Linked DNA regions of Sus scrofa. The protein of the gene in region 2 interacts with the protein of the main gene of each other region in a biochemical or structural test. Links are inferred from orthologs where the notes say so. Each region holds a gene or a part of one and is shown on either strand. Other genes may lie near its edges.

Region 1 (3,645 bases), on a different chromosome or scaffold from region 2:
GCCCAGCGGGTGCCCTCGGGACAAGAACCTTGGCCGCTCCTTCTGGCCCCACTTCAGTGCTGCTCCCCATTATTTCCCCTGCGCTGGTGTCCGGGATTTTTTGCCTCTTCATCTAAGATAACTACCGGACCAGAGGAGAAAGCAAGAGAAACCTGGGCTCTACCAAGAAAGGGGAGCCAAGGCCAGAATCAGGTTCCTGAGGATTAGAAAGCCTGTCTCTTTTTTCCTTTCCAGCTCCCGAAAGCTCTGGGTCTTCATTAACGGGGGAAAAAAAAAAAAGATGTGTTCACTTCTTCCCCATAAACTATAGCCTAAATTAGGTCTCCATACCTTCCCTCCCCTTGAAAAGAAAACAAAACAAAATACTTCTGCTCTCTGTGCAAGTGGTGAGGCCTGGGAGTTAGAAAAAAGCCCACCTCCAGCTCTCTGGCCCCCGCAGAGGGATGGGGTTCATCTCTGTCATCTTTCTTTATGGAGATGCATGGTTTGGAGTCCCTGATTTTGTTTCACAAAGAGAGCGTGAGTGTGTGGAGGTGGATTTGATTAAAATTGGCATCAGCTATATATAGGAGTGGCTGCTTCTGTCACCACCCCGAGGCCCAGGAGGTAAAGGCCTACCCACTGGTGCAGAGCCCTCTGACTTCTGTAGATCAGAGGATGATGGGGTCCCCCTTCAGGACCCCCCACCCTCTCACACCCTTCTCACCGACCAGGCTGGAGCCTGCTTTGTCAGTGAACTTTAGAAGCAGCTCAGATTCTGAATATTCATGTTCATGGGCTCACACTCCCTATTGCAGAGGCACCAGCCAAAACCCGCCTGCTCTTTGGGCGCTGGATTTGGGTAGACAGCACCGAGGGCACTGCTGACTCGTCCAGATGCCACACCTGAGGGTACAGGTCACAAGCGCCCACTCGCCACCTTTGCTCTCCTTTCTGCCCACGTCCTCAGCCGTCAAGGTCGGACATGGAGGACCTGGACAACCGCCCTCTTTCTTTCCCCTGCCTGTTTTTTCTTTTTGAAAAAAGCATCCTAGCAATGGCTCTGTTTGGAGGGGACCTGAGGGGAGCAAGCTGAGCCAGCATTGACCCCTGGCACTTTATTTTCCAGCTGTTCCGTGAAGTAAGAATAATGAAGGTTTTGAATCATCCCAACATAGGTGAGAAGCAGCTGTCGTTCCTTTCCTCTTCGCCCACAGCCGGGCCCCCACTTCCCAGCATGCAGCTCTCCGCCCTGAGGCGCGTCACCTTCTGGCACCTCTCGCCTTCAGGGATGCCTCTGGGGAAGCCCAGCTTAACGTCCAGCCCGCCTCTGACGCACAGGGCTGTCCTTGGGGGGGTGGCTGCTTTGAGAGGAACTTGTCCTTGGGAGAGCAGGAATGTGAACGGAGGGAACTTTCATTCCTAGGATGCCCCTGTGCGAGTTAGGGCTCGATGCGCGGCCCCTGCTGCTTCTCTGACTCATGGCTTGGCCTTTTCTCTTATAGTTAAGTTATTTGAAGTGATCGAGACTGAAAAAACGCTCTACCTTGTCATGGAGTATGCTAGTGGAGGTAGGCATGGAATTGCTTCTTCCTCCTGTGTCCCCCTCTTCCCCAGCCCCAGCAAGCTCTAGCCCCTGCCCCGTCTCTTGCAGGAGAGGTGTTTGATTACCTAGTGGCTCATGGCAGGATGAAAGAGAAAGAGGCCCGAGCCAAATTCCGCCAGGTGGGTGTGGCGGAGTGTGGGCCCGACCTCTGCTTTGGGGGGGGTTGGCGTACACGGAGGAGCTGCCTTTCTTTAAGTGACTGTTGGAGGGTCCTTGGGCTTTGCTTATCCATGTGGCAGCTTCGAACTTGGTCACAGGACTGCAGCTCCACCAGCCCCTGTGGCCCACCCTCGGGCATCCGTGGGCTGACCCCTCATCCTTCCTTTCAGATAGTGTCTGCTGTGCAGTACTGTCACCAGAAGTTTATTGTTCATAGAGACTTAAAGGTAAGACAAGCTCTTATCTCCTGGGTCTTTAAGTCGGGGCCGGGCTGTTCACCCTCGTTAACTGTGACATAACCATCACACCCTGAGTCAAACGCCAGCCTTTCATTTTTGGGGGAGGATGAGGAAGCCTCTAGGGCTGCTTCTGACATAGGCCTTGCGGCTGGACTTAGGATCCCATTCCAGCCAGCGAGCAGAGAGTCTCTGCCATTTCACCTCTCGGCACATCACCTTCTGGTGCTGCCAGGCGAGGCAGGAGGGCTGCAGGCGGCCTGGTGGCTGGCCGAGGAAACGGTGTTGACTGTTGCACAGCTGCGTCCCAGCTGCTCTGCAAGTGTGCGGCTCACTCATCTCTCTCACTGAGATATTAGTGTATGAGACTGCGTGCGAGTCTCCTGGCCCTAAGTCCTCGAAGCCGTGGAAGCTTTGCCCAGCTCCCAGGGTCTCTGAGCCTTCAGATCCCAGCTCTCGCCCGCTGCCTATGTGAGGAGCAGCCTGTGCCACCAGCGTCCAGCCCAGCCCAGCCTCTTCACATTGATGGGGGGCCTGCCCCGGAGTTGGTGGAGAAAGGTCTAAGATTGACGATGACTTCCTGTTCCTTGTCCCATTCCCCTCGGCTCCTTCCTGCCCAGTGCCTTAGTGTCATCCACTTGGTTCCCTGACATTTTCCATCTTGCCTCGCAGGCAGAAAACCTGCTCTTGGATGCTGATATGAACATCAAGATTGCAGACTTTGGCTTCAGCAACGAATTCACCTTTGGGAACAAGCTGGATACCTTCTGTGGCAGTCCCCCTTATGCTGCTCCAGAGCTCTTCCAGGGCAAAAAATACGATGGACCTGAGGTGGATGTGTGGAGCCTGGGAGTTATCCTCTATACACTGGTCAGCGGATCCCTGCCTTTTGATGGACAGAACCTCAAGGTGGAGTGAAGTTCAGCCCTAGGTCGCTTGTATTACTTCTCATTTCCTCTCTCGGGCGCTGGTCTTGTCCCCAGTCTCTCACCTTTGCTGCCGTTCTACATCTTTCCCATGCCGGAGCTTCAGAGAAGGGCTGGCGAAAGGTAGCAGCTATTAAAAGGCCTTCTCCACCTGCTCTAATAACTGCAGTTCTGCTCGTGAGGGCTGGGGTAAATCCTGTATTCACCCACCACTCACCCCTCCGAGGCCCTCAGGGTGGCAAGCCTCGTGCGGGTCCAGCCCCAGGGCGTGGGGTGTTGGACGTCACCACCTCTCTAGTGAGGTGCCTTGTTCCAGGCTCTTCTGGCCGTATTTCATTTACGTCTGCCTGACCAGTCTTAAGCTATTAGGAGCCGGGGTGTTAGGTTTCTTCCCTTGGCCTTGAGTGATTTAAATTTCTCTCCTGCAGGAGCTCCGGGAGCGGGTACTGAGGGGGAAATACCGTATTCCGTTCTACATGTCCACAGACTGTGAAAACCTGCTTAAGAAATTTCTCATTCTCAATCCCAGCAAGAGAGGCACTTTAGAGGTGAGCAGCCTGAGCCCAGCGGGCTGGAAGGTGCCGGGTCCCCAAGGAAACCTCCAAGCTGAGTCTCCCTCTCTGCCCTTCCCTTCACTTTGCTCCCTAGCAAATCATGAAAGATCGATGGATGAATGTGGGTCACGAAGATGATGAATTAAAGCCTTATGTGGAGCCACTCCCTGACTACAAGGACCCCA
Region 2 (4,183 bases):
CAGCCCAGGCCTCTCCTGTCGGTCAAAGCACAAAGCAACCTTTGCGAGTCAGGACTGGGAGGGGCAGCTGGGAGGGAGTTTAGATTTCTGGAAAGTCCAAACCTTCTCCGGCCATCTGTTGGCCCTCAGATCTTCCATTCTAGAGTCTTCAAGTCTGTTCCAGGCTCTACTTGGAATCTGAAATTCTTTCTCAGCAGTGGCTTTCTTCACTTTCAATGATCCATTTTCCCTGTGTTGGGCTGGACCTGGAATCATGGTAGCCTGAGCCCAGACACTCAGGACAGCACCTTATTCAGGGAGTGCCAGGAGAGAAGGGAGTGGCTGGAGGGGAGTGCCCAGTTTGAAGCGAAAGGAAAGGGATAGCCATGACCCTGGATAAAAGGCATTTGGGCAGATCATTCTCATGCCAGAAGGGTGTTCACAAGGAGAAAGTCAGAAGTCAACATCTAGAGAGGGAAGTTGAGCTTTGCAAGCGTCCTTTCAAAATTAATACCAGAAAATAAAAAGCATGTACATGTAAGACCACAATGATGGGAAAAATATGAATTTAGACACATGACCTGGGAATGCTGAAAAGAAATATAAAAACAGTTGGGGGAAGAGTGTGTTTCTTCAGATTATCCTTAATCATGTCATTTCCCATTTTAAAGAAAATCGCAACATCTGGCATCGCCAGAGAGACCTGTCTGGACTTTTTTTTTGGTATTTTCCAAGGGAACTTCAGGGTTTAGGTACCCGTCTGAAAATGAATTTCTCGTGTAAGACCCTTGCTTAAGCCGCTTTCTCCAGAAACGAATTCCTCTTTAATGGGGATGGGATTATATCTAATTCGCAGTCCCCATCGCAACGTCATTAAAGGCTGGGTTCTGTGTACTGAGCTTCAAACGTTTGTCACGAATAGGAAGGTGGAGGAAAGAAAGGCATTTGTGCAACAAACAGCCGATGGTATCACCCTCCCAGGCCCGACCTCACCGGGGCTCAGGAGAGCCGCAGCTGCATTAATTAGCCCACAAGATGCAATGCCCCATCTGCAGCGGTGCTGCAGCAGGAGACCCGGCCACTGCAGGAGAGGTCGTGCGAACCGCCCGCTCCCGTGCCGCACCCACGAGGGCTGGGGGTGGCGGGGAGGATGAGGGGAGTTGGTAACAGCATCGCCATGGCAACAGTGACGTCCTTTTACCCTGGATCTAATTGGAGGAAACCCCGTGGCCGAAGCCGCAGCCTGCGAGCCAACCGAACTTGCCCAAGCCGACCCACCCTCCTAGCCTCCGCTTCCCCTCCCGCCCCGCCCCCTTCGCCCCCTTCCGCGCGCTCAGTGCTCATTGGCCAGAGGCGGAGCGGGAGGCGGGACCCTAGGGGACCTCTCGGCGCGCCATTGGGCGGCGGGAGCGAGGGCAGCCGCGCGGCGGCCCGCCTCTCGGCTCCGAGGTAGGCTGAGACGGGAGGGTCCTCGGCTAAAGCCAAAAGCCGATCAAAGTGGTGGGACTCGCGCCGCGGCCGCGGAGACGTGAAGGTGAGCGCCAGGGTCGCCCCCGGCCTTCCTCGGGCCTGGCCGGGCCTGAGAGCCGGGCGGGAGGCCAGCCCCGGGGGGAGCGGCCGCTGGCCTCGACGCCGCTCTCCTCAGGGGCGGCTCCGGCGGGAAGGTGCGGGCCAACGGCCGCTTCCATCTTGGGCCGGGCGGGCGCGGGAGCGGCCCTTCCTCCTCCTCCTCCTTCTCCCGCCCGGGGCCGCCTGGGCGGGCGCCCCCCGGGCCTCCCGGGCGCCCCGTGGGGAGCGTGGGCGGGGGAGGGAAATTCAACTGGGCCGCGCGTGCGGGGACAGACAAAAGGCGCCGCGGGCGGGCGGCCGGGCGGCGGGCGCATTGTCTGACGGCGCCGCCCCCGCCCTCCTGCCCCCGCCCTCCCGCAGGCCCGCCGCACGCCTGCTCGCTGTCCGGGTCGGTGCTCGCCCTCGCTGCCCTGTCCCCGGCCCCATGGAGAAGACGGAGCTGATCCAGAAGGCGAAGCTGGCCGAGCAGGCCGAGCGCTACGACGACATGGCCACCTGCATGAAGGCCGTGACGGAGCAGGGCGCCGAGCTGTCCAACGAGGAGCGCAACCTGCTCTCGGTGGCCTACAAGAACGTGGTCGGGGGCCGCAGGTCCGCCTGGAGGGTCATCTCGAGCATCGAGCAGAAGACCGACACCTCCGACAAGAAGTTGCAGCTGATTAAGGACTATCGGGAGAAAGTGGAGTCCGAGCTGCGGTCCATCTGCACCACGGTCCTGGTGAGTGTGCGACCCTCCGGGGGCGGGAGGCCGGGCGGCGGGAGCCGGGGAGCCGTGCGTCCCGGGGCGCCGGGGCCCCTTTGTGTAAGGCCCTCCCTTGAGAATTTCACGGGGACCGAGTCGGGCCGGGCCTTTCCCGATTGTCTGCCGACGTCGAGGGTTTGAGGAGGTTATAGCCTTGGCCTGCTCGCTGTGTTATTTCAGTTCTTGAGATCCAGAAGCTGCTTCTCCCCGCCCCAGTGGTAAGTAGGTTTTTCTTAGATGCTGGGTTGCTTCCCCACCATTGTAACTTTGAAACACGCGAGTGGGTTTGTACAAGACTGAGCATCGTGTTCAAGCTTACAGAGGAAACCTGGGAACCCTTTAAATGTAGTTAATCAATTCATAGGCGTCAGGCTTCCTTTGAAAGAAGGTGCCGGGCTCCTGTTCGATACGTGTGTGAGCAAGGCTTGGTTTTCTTTCCAAACCTAGTCGTGGAACTTTACGAAAATCTGAATGGGTGCTTCATTTTTCAAGCAAGAGTATCTGTTGAGCTTTTTCCTTGTTAAAAACGGGGAAAGGGGGGAATTTGGTAAAAGTGAAAAGAGCACCGCTAAATCGAATGTCCTGCCAAATTTCAGTACCTGACAGCGTTTCCTTGCTATGACATAGCTACGCTGAAACACGAATGTGTTGAAGTGAATTCGTATCTGGTGTGGAGGAGGCAAGGAGGACTTTGCAGGTTTTGAACTGTCCAGTCTTAGCGTGGGTGGCTGTTGGGTGGAGTAGGGTGCCTGCTGTGATTCACTCTTATTAGTGAGAGAGAACGTTTTTAGCTTTGTCATTGTATGGGTCTTTCGATCGGTAAGATAAGTTTTTAAAATCTCAATGCCAGCATTATCTTCTGGAGTGTTTTTAAGTGTTTTGATACTGCAAAGAGTCATTTCTACTAATAAAATAATGAAACATCTGATGCATTTGCCTCTTTTCTTATGGGCCACGTTTACAGGGGGCCTTGGCGATTTTTGATGTATTCGTTCCATGTAGTATTTTAGGTGGCCTTTGAAAGACAGTCATGCTAGATTGGCGATATTTCAAGATGGAATAGAGGGGGACATTCCTCTTGTCCCAATCTTCTCTTCCTTGCCCCATCGAATTGGTGGGGCAGGAGGTTTGTTTTTTGTTGTTTTTTTTTTTCCTTTCACCTATTTTTTCAACACCAATAGCAGATGATCTGAACAAAATCGTGGCTGGTGGAGAAAGCTGGTAAAGGGGCAAAGAAAGCAATGCAGAGAGTGTACAGAGTGGAGGAAACTTCTGTTGAGGTTATTGGCTTTATGTGGGTGAGATTTTAGGGTCATCTATGTCTTAGCTGCCATTCCCTGCCTGCTGTAAAGGAGGCACTCAGAGAAACTTTCTGCCCTGAATTGCTTATATTCAAAAAAATTTTGCTGTCTTGAAAGTGGTGGTGGGCTTCAGTGCGTATGGTAATGGCTCTTGAGAGCATCTTCTCTGTTGTCAAGGAAGATGCATCAGGATGCCTGTGTCAAGGACAAGCTTTTTTAGGTCCGTGTTACTTTGGGGCACTCCCACAGCATATTTCCATCTTTTTCTATTCTGTCTTTACTTTGCACTTTGTTACTTACCCTGCAGCAATCCAGGAGTACCACAGAATTTTTGCTATTCTCTAGCAAGGTAGCCGGGAATATTTGTTTTATTTTTGTGGCTCTTACAAATTTTCGTTTTTTTGATGGCATGAGTGGAGGAGAGTTTGCTTACTCGAAAAGCGACTTGAGAGACCAAGTATATTCAGGAGACTTTTCTCGGACATCATTTCAGCGGAAGAGAACCGCTGCAATTAGGACAGGTTTATATGAAATATTCATATGTGTACACACACACGCTCACTAAGTGAAATAAAAGACTAGATTAATTAGA
Region 3 (3,645 bases), on a different chromosome or scaffold from region 2:
AAACATGGTTCCAAAAGAAATTCATGGTGAAAACAGTATATACTTTCCCCTCAAGATTAATGCAGGCTCAGGCATAGGTGGGGTCATTCTCCACAGCCACTTTACCGATCTAACAGTAAAAAGAAACCTCATTAACTCTTAAATTAAAAATTTGTTTTCAATGTTATTATTTCTTAGTCACTTTATACCTTCTGGAGGACAATATATAATTTTTTTTAATATCAGAGTTGTCTTAAAAGCAACTGCTTCACTTGCTGTGGTTTTCCTCACTAAAACTATTTGTGTGGCTATATTGTTATATTAACATCTATCAAATCAGATTACTTGATTCATTTTCAGTGCCTTAAAGAATAGATGAAATTTTAAAACAGCTGTACATACTCAGTTACATTTCAAAAAGGTTATGATTCTACCTCACAGTTATAAAAAATTGTCATTTATATTTTAAGTCTTTGATTTGTATATAGGTTCAAATTTATTGTTCTTATTTCTACTTATTCTTGCCACACGAACATAATAAAAAAAAAAAGTCACTGGAATTTTTCTGGAGAAAGGAGATTGATAAAGTTCCCCCTGGCAAAGATATTTTTGAATTTTTCTTCATAATATTCTATGTCTTATAAAGGCATTTTATATAAATGATGGCTGATTGCAATGTCCTTTCTCACCTGTCCCTGGCATGAATTTTATTTGAAAGTGTACATACTTTTGATAAACTGCTTTTGAACACACTCTTTCTTCCACAGGAAATTCCTTTATCAGAAATTTTGTCTCTGGAACCAGCAAAACCATCAGCTTTAATTCCTAGTGGGGCCAATCCTCACTGTTTTGAGATCACTACAGCAAATGTCGTGTATTACGTGGGAGAAAATGTGGTCAATCCTTCCAGCCCTCCACCAAATAGCAGCGTCCTCACCAGCGGCATTGGTGCAGATGTGGCCAGGATGTGGGAGATGGCCATCCAGCACGCCCTCATGCCCGTTATTCCCAAGGGCTCCTCCGTGGGTTCAGGAACCAACCTGCATAGTGCGTCTGCTAGTTCTCTATCTTTAGAACAGATAAAGAGAGCCTCTTCGAGGATGATTTAGTTTATTGGAGAACATAGGGTCTCCAAATAATTAGGATATTTCCTTGATTAAATTATCCTATTTTATTTTTCTTTTTATATTAAGCATTTGAATAAATTAGTGTAAATTGAATATACTAGGCAATAGCAGAAACCTAGGTCTATTGAAAGAAGTAATTTAGTCAGCTTGAGCCTGACCTGGGTTGCCAGTCTTGCCATTTGCATATCTGAGTTACCATGTGTCCTCAAAACCATCTAACATGTTACTCTGGGCAGAATGCTAGTACAGAGTACTTGGGAACTCTTGATCATTTTATCCCAGGAAGAAGTCTCTGTTCATTGTTTTACCAAAATGCAGTCAGGGTCAAGTATTGAGGATGAATTTTTAAAAGACATTATAGAGGCATATCTGTGTAAAAATATCACTTAAACATCTCATAATGGCTATAATACTGAAGCCTGTTGGAAAAACCTCTGGTTTAATATCACAGTGTGTTTTCTGATGTTCTGTCAAAACATTTTAATTGATCTCTCCAGCCAGTATACACATTAATAGACTGCATATGCCTATTTGGATGCTGAGCACTTTATGTGCGATCTCTATCTGAATGCCCCACACAACCCCAACAGGTGGACGATAATGATTTGCCTGTTTTACAGGTGAGGAAATCAGGTCCTAGAGACAGTATATTGTCTCAGCTTGTGTCAAGTTATGAAATGGCAAACCAGTCTTTATAGCTCTGAACTCTAAAGTGACAAAATATTATTTTTTAGAGCCAAGTACAGAGTAAATCTGTAATTGTAAAAGGAAAGAAATATCCTAATAGATATTTTCCTAGAAAAATCTAATTGCTATGATTTTAAAACAGTCCTGCCGCTTGATTAATAAGCATGTGTTTACTTATTTTGTTATTACCCTCTCACTTCTCTTGTGTATTTCTTAACATGTATTTCCAGGAGATGTTTCTGTGAGCATTTCAGTCTCCAACTGCCAGATACAAGAAAATGTGGTATGTACCTACTAATAGAAAACTTGATTCTGTGATTCTTTATTGGAAAATAAGAGCATCATAAAATACGTTTTTGTTTATCTAACATTTTAATTTTTGAGTGCTTTCTAGAAAATAAAATAGGGTCCACTTGGATATTTTTCTTCTATAAGATTTTAGAAATATTACATTGTACGAATTCTTTTATTTTCTATAATATGTTCTGTAGTGTGGAGTGTTAAATATCTGTTTTCCATCTCAGATAAGCAATTATAATGCAATGCCTGATTTTTCACATGTTTGCATATCTTGGTACTGGAATTTGGTGGTTGATGTTGTATAATACCAGATAAAATAAAATATATTATTTGAGTTGCACCAGTAGGTTAAACATTATTCTTCTTCCTTGATTGCTACCCAGGAGTGCTGTCATATGACAAGGTGTTGCAGATGCTCTTTCAATCACTTGTACATATCAAGGAGACATCAGAAAGCTGCAAAAATAAAATTTTATGGGTCCACGTTCTAGCACCTTAGTCAACTGTGCCACATAACTCCATCCTTTCAGCTTACTTTTTAAAATTATAGATCAGACATATTGTGAAATAATTTACACTCTGTGACATGTTTGCTTTTTTTGTTATACTTGTCACTGTGGCAAATAGCTCTAAAGTAATAAGGCCTTTCCTACCTCATCCTGTGACTCAGATCTTTCCCTCTATTTTGCCTCCTGTGTCTATAACCAAAAGGAAAATGTTTTCAGCCTTACTTATACTGATCTGAGTTTATTTTTTAAGGAATAAACACCATGAAACTGTATTCATCCCAAGCATACCTTTGCAACCTTTGCTAAATTAGCATAAAGTAAACTGAAAACCAAATATGAATGAGGGGGAATAAGGAAAACTTCATAATGAAAATAGATGTATTCCAATCACGAGACAGATTTCTAAAGATCTGAAGGTTCCTGATGCTCCTGCTCATCCAGAGAAGACTCTGGGGAATACAGATCTACCTAAAAGCCTCTTGGGAAATTCTAGATGCCTGTGGGGTTCTTCCACTCAGTTTGGCTGAAAATTCTGGGAAAGCTATTGAGCTGTCAAGTAAAGATGGAGTAGTAGCTTGGACTTAGAATTCTGGAATAGCATTAATTAATTTTTCTTATCTCCAGACAACCTTGAACTCTGAACCCTGGACACTCTGCTGTGGTCCCAGAATAGAAAAAAAACTTGTAGTTGTTTTCTAGGGGGACAAACAAAGGAAAAGAATAGGAATGTACTGAATATTCAGAGAGTAGGATTTGTTGTAAAAGGACTTTTATTCTTGAAAATTCAGGGAGCGCAAGAGTGGAGGACAGGCAGAAAATTCCATAGGGTGGAATGGGAATACTTAAGTTGAAAAAGTAATGCATTGCTCTTTCCTGAGTGTGGTCATCAAATCAGACTCTAAACACAGTCATCTAAAACAGAATGCTTTACTTAGCAAGTATTACTTCAAAGAGAAAAGAGTAAATGCTGGGAAACTTGTTACCTCCAGAAGTGGTGAAAGGGGATGAGTTAGGTTACCTCACAGGTGAGAATTTTACCATGG

Evidence for each region. The genes of interacting proteins can lie anywhere in the genome.
Region 1: the proteins of YWHAQ (region 2) and MARK2 form a complex in vitro, tested with the Homo sapiens proteins (2 studies listed by BioGRID, with this or other methods). The link is inferred for Sus scrofa from reciprocal best matches to the Homo sapiens genes YWHAQ and MARK2.
Region 3: the proteins of YWHAQ (region 2) and PRKD1 form a complex in vitro, tested with the Homo sapiens proteins (2 studies listed by BioGRID). The link is inferred for Sus scrofa from reciprocal best matches to the Homo sapiens genes YWHAQ and PRKD1.

The regions. Positions count from the first base shown.
Region 1 is NC_010444.4:8,163,624-8,167,268, reverse strand, and holds part of MARK2 (serine/threonine-protein kinase MARK2), read left to right. Parts: intron 1-1,108; coding exon 1,109-1,157; intron 1,158-1,484; coding exon 1,485-1,550; intron 1,551-1,633; coding exon 1,634-1,704; intron 1,705-1,914; coding exon 1,915-1,971; intron 1,972-2,652; coding exon 2,653-2,889; intron 2,890-3,334; coding exon 3,335-3,454; intron 3,455-3,554; coding exon 3,555-3,645. UniProt on the Homo sapiens protein: Serine/threonine-protein kinase. Involved in cell polarity and microtubule dynamics regulation. Phosphorylates CRTC2/TORC2, DCX, HDAC7, KIF13B, MAP2, MAP4 and RAB11FIP2. Phosphorylates the microtubule-associated protein MAPT/TAU.
Region 2 is NC_010445.4:126,737,437-126,741,619, forward strand, and holds the start of YWHAQ (14-3-3 protein theta), read left to right. Parts: upstream 1-1,358; 5' UTR 1,359-1,513; intron 1,514-1,908; 5' UTR 1,909-1,972; coding exon 1,973-2,266; intron 2,267-4,183. UniProt on the Homo sapiens protein: Adapter protein implicated in the regulation of a large spectrum of both general and specialized signaling pathways. Binds to a large number of partners, usually by recognition of a phosphoserine or phosphothreonine motif.
Region 3 is NC_010449.5:69,821,270-69,824,914, forward strand, and holds part of PRKD1 (serine/threonine-protein kinase D1), read left to right. Parts: intron 1-746; coding exon 747-1,026; intron 1,027-2,023; coding exon 2,024-2,076; intron 2,077-3,645.